2 linked regions of the Xenopus tropicalis genome follow. The protein of the gene in region 1 purifies or fractionates together with the protein of each later gene. This does not show direct contact. Links are inferred from orthologs where the notes say so. Each region holds a gene or a part of one and is shown in the gene's direction. Other genes may lie near its edges.

Region 1 (6,919 bases):
TATGTGGACTGATGGCATACAGAAGACTCTGTTTGGCATTACACTGGGTTTTTATGCAACCAAAACTTGCCTCCTTACAAGAAATTAAAAAATAATCACCTGCTTTGAGGCCACTGGGAGCAACAGCCAAAGGGTTGGTAAACAAAAATTGCTCACAGGCCACTGGTTAGGGAACACTGCTGTACACCTTCATAAAGGCAAGATTTATGTTACATTTAATTTTGACTTCTATTATATTATAATGCTAATTTAAGGCTCTTACTCGTGAGTGTTTCGTTATGTATTCCTCTGCGGTGGCTCTTTCATGTTCTAGCACAAGAGAATGTATGAGTTAACACAGCCTATGCTGTACTATGAGTTTTTATTCACTGTGGCGGCTGTTGGAACCGCTGGCTGGCCGATGTGGCTAAAACTATTGTCTTTTATACATTAACTGTTACTGAACAGCATAGATGTTTGCCATTCCTCTAATAGTAATGATCCAGGTCTTCAAAAATGTGCATAAGCTCACCATATGGATTTTGTCAGGAGTGTCAGTAACACCCACATGCTCAGTATGCTCTCTTGGCAGTTGTTGAGAAGTTTAGTTTAGGATTTTTGACAGTTCATCAAACAAAAATGAAGCTTATCTGTCAATTAAACTGATGCTACAGGGTTGATTATTAAATTCTGATGCAAACTGCATGTGATTCAGAGCTACCATGTAATGTGAAACTGAATTAATTACTAATCATCCCTGCCCATTGTATCATTGTTCCTCCCCTTACTTCAACAGACCTGCCCTCCAATATCATTGCCCCCCCACCCAATGCCACTGCCTTGTTGGACAAAACCTAGTGGTGGCAACCCTACTTCCATTTTTATATCTTCCTTTTTCTCCTTCTTCGCTAGATTTTTATCTTGCTTTCTGTTGGCTCTTCTTCCTTCTTTATTTGCTGCATAGGAAAAACTCAACCTATACCTGACCATCAACGCACAAAACCTTTATCTACACCCAACTGAATCCAATATAGTTAGCAAAAAATTGAATCTATAAAAGCTGGAGTGAACAGACGCAGCCCATTCCACCTGCATTTTTTTTGACCTGCGTGCTCATGATCAAAAGCAAATTAACGAAACATTTATGTTGCTTTCCCCCTGCGTTTGGTGCTTACATGCATCTGTGTGAGTGTAGCTCAGTAGTTAAGAAAGGGCTGTGTTTTGCCCTGCATTCCCCTGCAGTGAAACACAGGAGAACGCCAGTGCAGGGGAATGCAGGGCAAAACGCCCATCTGTACGAGCCCTTAGGGCTCTGGCACACGGGGAGATTAGTCACCCGCGACAAATCTCCCTGTTCGCGGGCGACTAATCTCCTCGAAATGCCATCCCACCGGCGAAGATGTAAATCGGTGGGATGGCATACACGGCGGCGCGATTTCAGTGAAATCGCGGAAGTTTCCTCTCGAGGCAATTGCGGAAATCGCGTATGCCATCCCACCGGCGATTTACATCTTCGCCGGTGGGATGGCATTTTGGGGAGATTAGTCGCCCGCAAACAGGGAGATTTGTCGCAGGCGACTAATCTACCCGTGTCCCAGAGCCCTTAGAGAGAAACAAAGAAGAAAGTGATGTTCTCGTTAGATATCCGTTCACTCCAGCCCTTGTAAATTACAGGTGTGGCTAACTAGCTATACTGAAAACATTTTTTATTTTGCACAGCCTATTTATTTACCGAGTTTTATTTTTACATTGAACAATTCCTTTATAAGATAATAAGATAATGTAGCATTTACAAAAACTGGTCATTGCCAGTGACATATACATAGGGTACTCATGGAAATCATTATTTAAAATCTTTTATGTGGTTGCTAGGGTTTAATTTATCCTGTCAACCATGTTATTTAAATCAGATACCGGAATATGAATAGGACAGGTACTGAATAGAAATATGTCATAAAAAGTATCAATAACAAAAGCTACTTTAGCCTAACTGTAGCCTCACAGAGCAATATTATTAGCTACCATGGTCACTGACCCCATTTTAAAGGTAACAAAAGGCAGAAAATAATTCAAATGAAAGCAAACTGTAAGTTGCTAACATGAGGCTATTCTATATCATGCAAAAATAATCTTATATATGAACCACCCCCTTTTAAGTGTATGTTTTAGGAATTTTCGAAAACGATAAAAGATGAAAAAAAAAAAAACTAAAAGAAATTGCTTTAGTAGCAAGCTGTTTATATTACTGTTATTTTAATCTGTTGTCGATACGATCCAGTTTCTTCCTACTTCATTTGAGTTACACCATCCACGGAGCAGTAATTATAGGATCTATTTTTCTCTTTGTCTAATAAATAATCAATCTGGGACTTGTCCAGCTGTCATAATCGGTTTATTTCGAAATATTATGGTCTGAAATAGAAACGCATTGAAATACACTTCGCAATGAATAGATTTCTCAAACAGATATAAAGGGAAAATCCCATACAGTATGCATTTTTGCGTTTCAGGCCTCTTTTAAGGTACTACGCCTTCCATTTCAAGTTCGATTGGCCGCCTGTAAATAAAGCCTCGCCCTTTTAGTCCCTCCCCTCCTCCGCCCTAAGATGGCCGATCGATCAACCACCTATTGAGTTAATGACGGGCAGACTAGGCTGGGTTTGGCACGCCCTCTCTGTGCACGTTCAGCGAGCCAATGAAGGCTTGCAAAGGCATGGGGCGCGGCCAATGGGAAGCTGTGGAAGGAGGGGTGCCTAATGCTGTGAGTTCCGGTCCTCTTCAGTGCGTGTCTTGGTGCAAGGCTGGGAGGTGTGTGCTGCTCGGTAGAGGGATTAAAAGAAGCCTTTTCACTGAATGGGATGAGAGGACATCATTTCCTCATGGCTAGGGGCTGAGGAAGAGACTGTCTCCCCCACCCTGAGCAAGACAGCAGGGTGGCTGGGTTTTCATCGTGTGGGCTATTGGTTGAAGGTACCGGGTATTTGGTTGCTCTGAAATTGGTGAGATGTCAGACGAGCTGCCGTTTTCCAAGATGGATCAAGTAGCGATCCTAAAGTCTTTTATCCAAAGGGTGCAGACCATGGATATCAAAGATCAGAATGGAGAGGATAACTTTGGCTGCGATTTTATGGTGAGTGTTCTGGGATGGGCACAGGAGTGTCATGATGCATCAGTGTCAGGGTCGGTCTGTGGAAGTGCTCCTCTTACCCTTACGCTAGTCACTGAACTAGTTTGTTCCCTGCAGTTAATGCAAAGGGGACACTCTATTCTGTAACTTAGCTACTAGCCTTGGGTCCCTCCTGATGTTGCCGAACTGCAAATGTCAGCAAACATCGCTTGGGGGGCTGAGAGTTGTGGTTCTGTAACAGCTGGATTGCCAAAGGCCATCTACCCTGTCGTCTGTGCTGTTTTTACTGACACACATGTTATCATTTATCTAAATGTGCATATGGGACATTCTAAGGTAGTGACCTCACATGTTCTCTGTCATAGACTAGAATGTCATATAATATATATATATATAGCTTGTTCTTTGTATGTACAGTGTGGGGGCCCTTATGTGTGTAAGTGGGTCCTAGCTGTGTATATGTATGTGTTTCTTTGTTAAGAAAGCATATCATCCAATTACACTTTTTTCTGTACATTTTGTTAGGTGTTTTTGGGAACCCTTTCTGATCATCCTCCCTCCACCCATGTTCAGTTATTTCAGAGCCGGTCTCCTTGTCTTTTCCTTTTTACCTCCCTCTTCTCCCCCCTCCTTCCTTCCTGATCACTTCATGGATTATGGCTTGCAGCCTTATGTGGTGGGAGGATTTTATCAGGGTTTCCTGCGCACCCATGTAGATTTTTTTCAGTTAATCTAGACTTTAATTTTATTATATTAATGAACCTTTTTCATGCACATTATAACTGCAGCATTCCCTTTATAATTTTAATCACTTGCCTGCTCACTCTCTGGCATTGCTGCAGTTAAATGTCCCACCCTTCTATTATGCTTGCATAAGTATGTATATATAGCCTGCACCAAAATGTGACTGGCATTGTTATTTATATAAAGCTTGTTTAGAATAGTGTGGCCCATATACTAACAGCTGAAAACAAGCACATTGCATTGGATAGCTGTCCTTGTTTATCCTTTGCCTTTGCTGTTTCTTTATTTCAATGTATGTGAAACAACTTCTATTAATTCTTTAGAGATTCTGTTTTTCTTTTGTAAAATGCTTTTTTTTTGTATTCCTTCAATATTTTGGTAAACTTATAAGATGCTCTGCTCTTCTTTAAATTGATCTTGTAGTGTCAGATAATTTGCCCCACCCCCGGATTTAGGCTTTCCTTTCATTGTGTCAGATTCTCCTTGTCCCCATGCTCATGAACTATGCTACAGCTCATATGGATCTATTCACATAAAGCATGCACTAATTACATATGGAAAATATCTTCTTTAACATCTGAGATCTACATTGGATCAAATGTAATTTAGCATTGTTTCCATAATTTGGTGTATTTTCCCTTAATCTCCTGGGGTGGTTCAGATAGAAAAAAGGAACAATGCTTGCAAGTTAGCAAAAATGGAAGTTACAGATAAACAGATGCTAAACAGTCCTCTTGGGCATTGAAGAATTCCAGGGTCATGGAAATGAAACAATGCTTTTAATTTAATAGATGTTGAAAGTAATATGCTATTTTGGCCTGTGTCAGAAATTAGCAATCCCAAAGTATAATGAGCAGTCAGTGAAATTCTTGTATCTTTAAGGGAATTTGTGCCTTTTTTTGTGGAGGTTTAGTTGAACTGAATGTATCCAGTGCCTCTCTAATCAGTGCTTAAATATAGTACGGAGGGGCAGATGTAGCTAAGGTGTTAGAATACCTGTTAGAATTTAAATAAAATTGATGTAACTTTCAGACTTTTCTGTTTATGAAAAGTCTGTTTAACTATTTTCGCAATGTTGTCAGTTTACATTGTACTCTGCATTTTTGTACATTTTACTAAACTGCTCGTTTATCGATTTAAAAACATTTATGCAGCACGTGAACATTTCTTACTATAAATGCCCTTAGGAGAAAAGATCTTTGCATAAAAAATGTATGCTAATAATGGTACATAGCAAGAACATAAACTATTTTCCCCTTGGCAAGAAAAAGTGGATAAAGGAAGCAAATATTTTCCCCCAGGGTACAAAAAAAGGTAAAAGAAGTCTTACTTGCTTACTTGTTTTCTACTAAATGAAGTGTTTGTCTGTTTCAGAATAGTGTGCAGTGTTTATTTTGTGGCTAAAATGTTGAAAAGAAAATTGTCATTTGTTTATTAAGGTGCTAAAGTATTCAGAATTATCTCCAGTGGCTGCATTGTTTGAATTTTAGGAAGTGCAGATGTATTCTTTAGAATAAACCTACATACATGTCTGTAGTAATGTTAAAGGGTCCAAGTAAAAAATATATTGGTCATGAATATGCTCTGACTTATGGCCAGTGTAGGAGGCCTTTAATGCTTGGATTTTGTAAAATTCGTCAATGTACGTATATAAAGACAATGCCACATTTTATTTATTTTGCACCCATTCCTTTTTAAAATTATTATTAGGAAGCAGGTTATGTTTGCCATATAAACTGGGGATAAGTTGGATGTGCAGAAGAAAACACAAATTAATGTTATTTTTTGTAGTGAGGTGTTTATGTATTTAGGTTCTTACTGATAGCCTAGTTTTAGTTCATATACAATCCAGGAAGCATCCATCTTCAATTCAAAAATTGGAGTCCCTTTTGTTTGACACTGAAAGTGTGTGTACCACTCTGTGGGCATAGACCCTTAGGCATGAATGCAGTCCTCTGAAGCATTCTGCATGTTTTTATATTATTCTTTCATTTATCCTTGAGGTCACTGGCACATGGCAATTCTGTTATGTTTGAGTGATTTTCAGATCTGTGGGCAGGTAAAAAAAAATGGTAGGAATTGATCCCCACTGACTACTACATTTTCAAACTGCCTGAATTGTGAGTACTCCCACAGATCCAGGTGATTTCCATTGAAATTAATGAGAGGCTATTACAAGCATATTGTTGCTCCTTCCTCTAAACACTACTTGTGCCATTATCCCAAGGGAATATTTGTCATTGGGCACATTCATTTGGGATATTTAAAGATGTGCTGCAGGGACATTTAAAGGGAATTTGTCACCCACACATAAAAATCTGTATTATAAAAGTCTTTTGCAAATTAAACATGAAACACTTTTTTTTTATTAAAACACCCATGCTTGTTATAAAAGTATTTAAAAATCTGAGCTGTCACTCATATATTGCCTGTCCTGCCTCTATGCCTCAGGAGGGGCAGGCAAATGCTTTAACTTTCCATTCAGCACTTCCTAGATGTCACTGCACTCCTCACATTCCCCTCTCCCTCCTGACACTCAATAATTGTGTAGCCAGTGCATAGGCATGGGCATTAGGTCACCCATCCTGGCGCATTCAAAAGATTTTGGGGTGATACAAAACTTTCCTTAATAAAAAAAATTGTGCAAAAATGGTGCCTGCCTGCTTGCTCTGATAGGAATTCCAAGACTGAAGGCAACAAGATCTAAGTCATTTATATCAGTGGTTCTCAACCTTCCTAACACCGTGACCCTCAACCATAAAATTATTCCTAAGACCATCGAAAATATGTGTTTTCCGATAAACTTAGGCGACCCCCTCCCCCCCCCAAAGGGGTCCCGACCCACAGGTTGACAACCGCTGATTTATATAGTGTAAGTAATGTTTTTGTTTGAGTCATTTTGCTCATCTAACATAATAGAAAATAATTTAGAATAATTTCTTAGGGTGACAGGTCCCCTTTAATTTTAGAGTGAAAACATTTTAAGCCTGTCACTCCCAAGGTTTGCTGTGGGTGTATAGTTATATGTATTCTTTTTATAATATATGAGAAGAAAAGGTAGAAGAAGAA
Region 2 (6,181 bases), on another chromosome or scaffold:
TAGATCTCCATTCCTTATGTCTACTAAAAGATCATATAACCATTAAATAAACCCAATAAGATTGTTCTGCCCCCAATAAGGGGTAATTATATCTTAGTTGGGATCAAGTACAGGTACTGTTTTATTATTACAGAGAAAAGGGAATCATTTAACCATTAAATAAACCCAATAGGGCTGTTCTGCCCCCAATAAGGGGTAATTATATCTTAGTTGGGATCAAGTACAGGTACTGTTTTATTATTACAGAGAAAAGGGAATCATTTAACCATTAAATAAACCCAATAGGGCTGTTCTGCCCCAATAAGGGGTAATTATATCGTAGTTGGGATCAAGTACAGGTACTGTTTTATTATTACAGAGAAAAGGGAATCATTTAACCATTAAATAAACCCAATAGGGCTGTTCTGCCCCCAATAAGGGGTAATTATATCTTAGTTGGGATCAAGTACAGGTACTGTTTTATTATTACAGAGAAAAGGGAATCATTTAACCATTAAATAAACCCAATAGGGCTGTTCTGCCCCAATAAGGGGTAATTATATCTTAGTTGGGATCAAGTACAGGTACAGTTTTATTATTACAGAGAAAAGGGAATCATTTAACCATGAAATAAACCCAATAGGGCTGTTCTGCCCCAATAAGGGGTAATTATATCTTAGTTGGGATCAAGTACAGGTACTGTTTTATTATTACAGAGAAAAGGCAAACCATTTAAAAAAAATGTTAATTGTTTTATTATAAATTGTTTTTGGAAGATGGCCTTCCCATAATTCAGAGCTTTCTGGATAAGGGATTGCATACCTGTATACTAACCCTGGTAAATAGAAGCAAGCAGCTAGTTTATATATAATTGTTAGTGGGCTTGTTGGTGCCACTCAGTTTGTGCCCTGTGGCATGTATGAGATCCTGAACAAATTCATGTTTCCTTGTTATTCTATATGCTATGTATTTGTTGAATCCACAATACAATGGGGTTCATTTTGCCTTTAAAGACCACTTTCTGTGGCTTTAATTTGATGCAAGGAAGGTAATAGGACGGAAGTCACAGAACACAGGCAACAACCAAAGAAAGCGAGGAACTGATTGTTTCACTTGAAAAGACTAATCCTGCATTTTTAATGCATATCATCAGTTAAAAGATGGGGGTTGGCAGGCTTAATTGAAATATTAGATGAAATCTTCATAACTCCACTACTTCAAAAAGAATTGCAATCTCAGCCTGGCAATTATAGACCTGCAAGTTTGACACCTGTTGTGAGCGGTGCTGCATAAACGTTTGCTTTCTAATCTAAGGTTTACTGCCAGTACCTGGATAGTGAACGGGCTAATGAATTCTGTAGAAAGGGTGGCTGTGAAAGGTACATTGTCCAATTGGAGTAGAGATCTCATTGGGGTGCCATAGTCAGCAGTCTGGAGGAAGAGACTGCTGACTGTTCTATGCCAAAACTGCACTCTGACTGTCTGTTACTTTGACTTAAAATAGAGGTCCTTATAATAGGAGCTTTATTGGCTGTAAGTGGAAAGTCAGCAAAAAGCAAGAAAATTGAACTTCACTGTTCTTTTCTGGAAGAGCAAAGTAACATACAAGGTTCCCCAAACAACAAAGTGACCCCTTCTGCAGTGTTTTCTGCCTGCAAGGAACTCTTTTTCCAACCCATAGTTGGAGATGATAAGGTCAATACCTTGAGGGTTGCAAGTTGCCTTCCCCTCTGTCAGTCACTCTTTGCCCAATACAAATACTCTGCAAAATACCCCCCCATAGTCAGCAGGGAGAGAGAGAAATCCATAGTATTATCTTAGCCTCTATCCTATTATTTGCAGATAGAAGCTGTTATGGATGCCTTTCATAAGCAGAAACTGAATCAGTACAAAAAGACAATGGAGGTAAGTTTTCTTTGATCTCTTAATAAAAAAAAGAAATGTTTTAGACACCAGGTATCCTGTAAATACTGTCATCATATCCCATCATTAGGATACCAATACTGCTATAGTTATGGTATCTCTCTGTACAGGCTATGAGCAAACTTAGGGGGCTGTTCCTGCTGAATTGTGCTTAGTACAGGGGAATCCCTATGTGCCATAGTTTTATGGTATCTCTCTGTACAGGCTATGAGCAAACTTAGGGGGCTGTTCCTGCTGAATTGTGCTTAGTACAGGGGAATCCCTATGTGCCATAGTTTTATGGTATCTCTCTGTACAGGCTATGAGCAAACTTAGGGGGCTGTTCCTGCTGAATTGTGCTTGGTACAGGGGAATCCCTATGTGCCATAGTTTTATGGTATCTCTCTGTACAGGCTATGAGCAAACTTAGGGGGCTGTTCCTGCTGAATTGTGCTTAGTACAGGGGAATCCCTATGTGCCATAGTTTTATGGTATCTCTCTGTACAGGCTATGGGCAAACTTAGGGGGCTGTTCCTGCTGAATTGTGCTTAGTACAGGGGAATCCCTATGTTGCCATAGTTTTATGGTATCTCTCTGTACAGGCAGGGTCGGACTGGGCCGCCAGGACACCGGGAGAAATCCCGGTGGGCCCTGGCCCTAGTGGGCCCCAGCGGGCCCAGTCCGACCTTTGCCGGCGCTCCCCGCTACTGAATGTTCCTCTCCTAACGCGTTCAATTTATACGAGCTCAGGGAGGACGTCAGGCGGGGGCCCTTCGGGGGGGTTAGGGGGGCCCCTGGGGGGGTTAGGGGACGCGGCTGGGGCACCTGCAGGGCCCCCGGGGCGGGAGCCCCGGTGGGCCCCGCACCCCCCAGTCCGACCCTGTGTACAGGGTATGAGCAAACTTAGGGGGCTGTTCCTGCTGAATTGTGCTTAGTACAGGGGAATCCCTATGTGCCATAGTTTTATGGTATCTCTCTGTACAGGCTATGACCAAACTTAGGGGGCTGTTCCTGCTGAATTGTGCTTAGTATAGGGGAATCCCTATGTGCCATAGTTTTATGGTATCTCTCTGTACAGGCTATGAGCAAACTTAGGGGGCTGTTCCTGCTGAATTGTGCTTAGTATAGGGGAATCCCTATGTGCCATAGTTTTATGGTATCTCTCTGTACAGGCTATGGGCAAACTTAGGGGGCTGTTCCTGCTGAATTGTGCTTAGTACTGGGGAATATCTATGCTACAAAAGCTGGTAAATCAAAGAGGAAATTATAAATCCATGTTTTGTTATTTCCGTTAGATTCAGGGTTATATATAGGGGTGCCTGGGGTAGAGTTGCTCTTAGACCTGTCTGTCCTAGTTTCCCTTATTTTCCTATGACAAGCTGCAAGGTAACTGGCAATGCATTGGCATGATGGAAGGACACATGTCCCCGACAGGATTATTCTGTAATTTAAATTTATAGCCGATACGAACGATAGATACTGTAGCCATTCCCTACATTAATGGGGCAAATGCTGAGATTTTACCTCTGTTCCCCCCGGTAGTCGAAGAGGAATTATGAGCAGAGGTGTCGGGAGAAGGATGAAGCCGAACAAGCCGTGAGCCGCTGCAAAAATATGGTGAATGCCAAGCAGCAAGAAAAGGTAATGATGGAACGTTTAGCCCTGGCACAGCCAATGGCCAGTCACAGTGCACACAAACAAGCCAAGGCATACATACATGCTAGGCCCCATCAGCCAATGAATGGGCAGAGTTCTGCCTTCCACACTACTTCCTGTTACAGTTAGAGCTGCATCACTTCCTGTCAGCTGATCCCTGAAGGAGCACACAGCCCATCACTAAATGGCGGCTCAAGGGAAAGGATGTAAAAGGGCAATATTTACTGATATATATATTCCAGTTTGGGGAGATTCTTTAATAGGTCCCTTTATATGATATAAACTGTCTGTTGGTTACGTATTCATTCTAGGGGTATAGTTTCCCTTTAATAGTGACTGTCTATGGAATCTTTCAACAACCCTCCTTGTTTTTAAAAAAATGTAAATAAAGGTAGACCGCCCCTTTAAGCATGACCAGAGATTCAGGTGGGCCTCCTGGATTTCCAGTGGTCTCCCTTCTTTGCTTATCATGTCTTTTATCTTCTCCTCCCCCATTTTCTCTGTCCCTCCTCCAACATGCAGAAACTTATGAAGGATACGAGGAGAAGTTTGGGTAGGATTAATGTATTGCTGATCATTGATGGCCTGGGTATGTTGGCATTAAGGAGGGAGGGCAAATAAAACCAGTGATAGAAACTAAACATCAGATTGGGACTGTACCATCACAGGGGTTGGGGGGGAGACAGGGACCCTGCCAGTTGACACCTACTATCTATGAAATCAGTGTTTCTGAATGATATGAAATAATACTTTTGATCATATTTTCAGGTTTTTGCTAAACTGGCGCATTCCAAGGTGACTGCCGAAGCTGCTGGTGAGTCACTTCCTGTTATAAAAGTCTGCCGATACTATTGGTCCATTGGCACCATTGTTACATCTGTAGTCCTTCTTCAGGTCTCATTATAATGCTCTGAATGGCTACTGATTCTGTTTTCCAGTTGGGTCCAGCCCCCACATTTCACAAAAACATCTTAGACATACACAGTACAGTACCTTCTCCTACAAGCCAAGACCAATCTCTTCATGTCCCCCCTCCCAGGGCCAAAATTATGTGCCACGTGCCCAGAGGCTGGCACCCTTTACTGCCCCTCCCCCAGAATTGTGTGCTTGCACATTGTTTGACCTAAGATGGCCATACAGGGGCAGATTTCAGCTGCCCAAATTGGTTCTTCAGAAAGATCTGGTAGCTTATCTGCCCGTGTATGGGCACCACCAATGGGCCTCTCCAACCTACATCTGGCTGGAAATTGGCCCCAGAACCGATGCCCCCTATGCCCGCCTTTTAATTTGATCATTTGGCCCTAGATCAGATTAGCCCAATATTGCCCACCCATAGGATACACTCGTTTGGCAACCTCATCAAACGAGCGGGTCTTACCGTACATGGCCACCTTTAGGCACACAGCACAGAGGACAAGCTCTGGGTCTACAGTGCTCTGGGGGTGCAACTGGCCAGCATGTCACCCCTCAATTTGTGCCGCCCTAGGCCCCAGCCTTTGTAGCCTTAACCCAAATCCGGCCCTGCACCTTCCCACTTGTTATGTCTCACAGCGACCAGCAGATGGTGGGATCTACCTGATGGCATCATGACCAATTGGAATAAGCGCTGCAGAACTGTTAGCAGAACACAATGTACACTGATGCTTGCTCCTCCTCTTCCTGTGCAAACATAGAGGTAGCCATGTCTGTGCCCATTGCTGTTCTTTTACTTGATGGTTGCTATTAGTTGTATAATTCATGACTGGTTTGTGTTCATCAGTTATCAATGTTTATTCTGATTTGCAGATAAGTCTTACCAGCAAAATATCAACTTACTTGACAAAATAAGGGAAGACTGGCAAAAGGAACATGTCAGCTCCTGTGAGGTAATGGCATTCATTTGGCTTTAATGCCCCTCTCTATCCATTGAAATGCACAGTGACATGTTGTTCTGCCCCATATGGACCTTGTGATCCCAAAATAACTATGTACAGGTATGGGACCTGTTATGCAGAATGTTTGGGACCTGGGGTTTTCCGGATAAGGGATGTTTCCATAATTTGGATCTCCATAACTTAAGTCTGCTAAATATAATTTAAATATTGAATAAACCCAATAGGCTTGTTTTGTCTCCAATAAGGGGTAATTATATCAAGTACAGGTACTGTTTTATTATTACAGAGAAAAGGGAATCATTTAACCATTAAATAAACCCAATAGGGCTGTTCTGCCCCCAATAAGGGGTAATTATATCTTAGTTGGGATCAAGTACAGGTACTGTTTTATTATTACAGAGAAAAGGGAATCATTTAACCATGAAATAAACCCAATAGGGCTGTTCTGCCCCAATAAGGGGTAATTATATCTTAGTTGGGATCAAGTGCAGGTACTGTTTTATTATTACAGAGAAAAGGGAATGATTTAACCATGAAATAAACCCAATAGGGCTGTTCTGCCCCCAATAAGGAGTAATTATATCTTAGTTGGGATCAAGTACAGGTACTGTTTTATTATTACAGAGAAAAGGGAATCATTTAACCATTAAATAAACCCAATAGGGCTGTTCTGACCCCAATAAGGGGTAATTATATCTTAGTTGGGATCAAGTACAGGTACTGTTTTATTATTACAGAGAAAAGGGAATCATTTAACCATTAAATAAACC

The links. The genes of interacting proteins can lie anywhere in the genome.
Region 2: the proteins of ptpn12 (region 1) and pstpip2 purify together in Homo sapiens (affinity purification with mass spectrometry; 4 studies listed by BioGRID and IntAct, counting the BioPlex papers as one, with this or other methods). This does not show direct contact. The link is inferred for Xenopus tropicalis from reciprocal best matches to the Homo sapiens genes PTPN12 and PSTPIP2.

Annotation. Positions count from the first base shown.
Region 1 is NC_030679.2:78,239,379-78,246,297, forward strand, and holds the start of ptpn12 (tyrosine-protein phosphatase non-receptor type 12), read left to right. Parts: upstream 1-2,772; 5' UTR 2,773-3,010; coding exon 3,011-3,109; intron 3,110-6,919. UniProt on the Homo sapiens protein: Dephosphorylates a range of proteins, and thereby regulates cellular signaling cascades. Dephosphorylates cellular tyrosine kinases, such as ERBB2 and PTK2B/PYK2, and thereby regulates signaling via ERBB2 and PTK2B/PYK2.
Region 2 is NC_030677.2:206,683,281-206,689,461, reverse strand, and holds part of pstpip2 (proline-serine-threonine phosphatase-interacting protein 2), read left to right. Parts: intron 1-1,821; coding exon 1,822-1,884; intron 1,885-3,423; coding exon 3,424-3,522; intron 3,523-4,305; coding exon 4,306-4,351; intron 4,352-5,322; coding exon 5,323-5,402; intron 5,403-6,181. UniProt on the Homo sapiens protein: Binds to F-actin. May be involved in regulation of the actin cytoskeleton.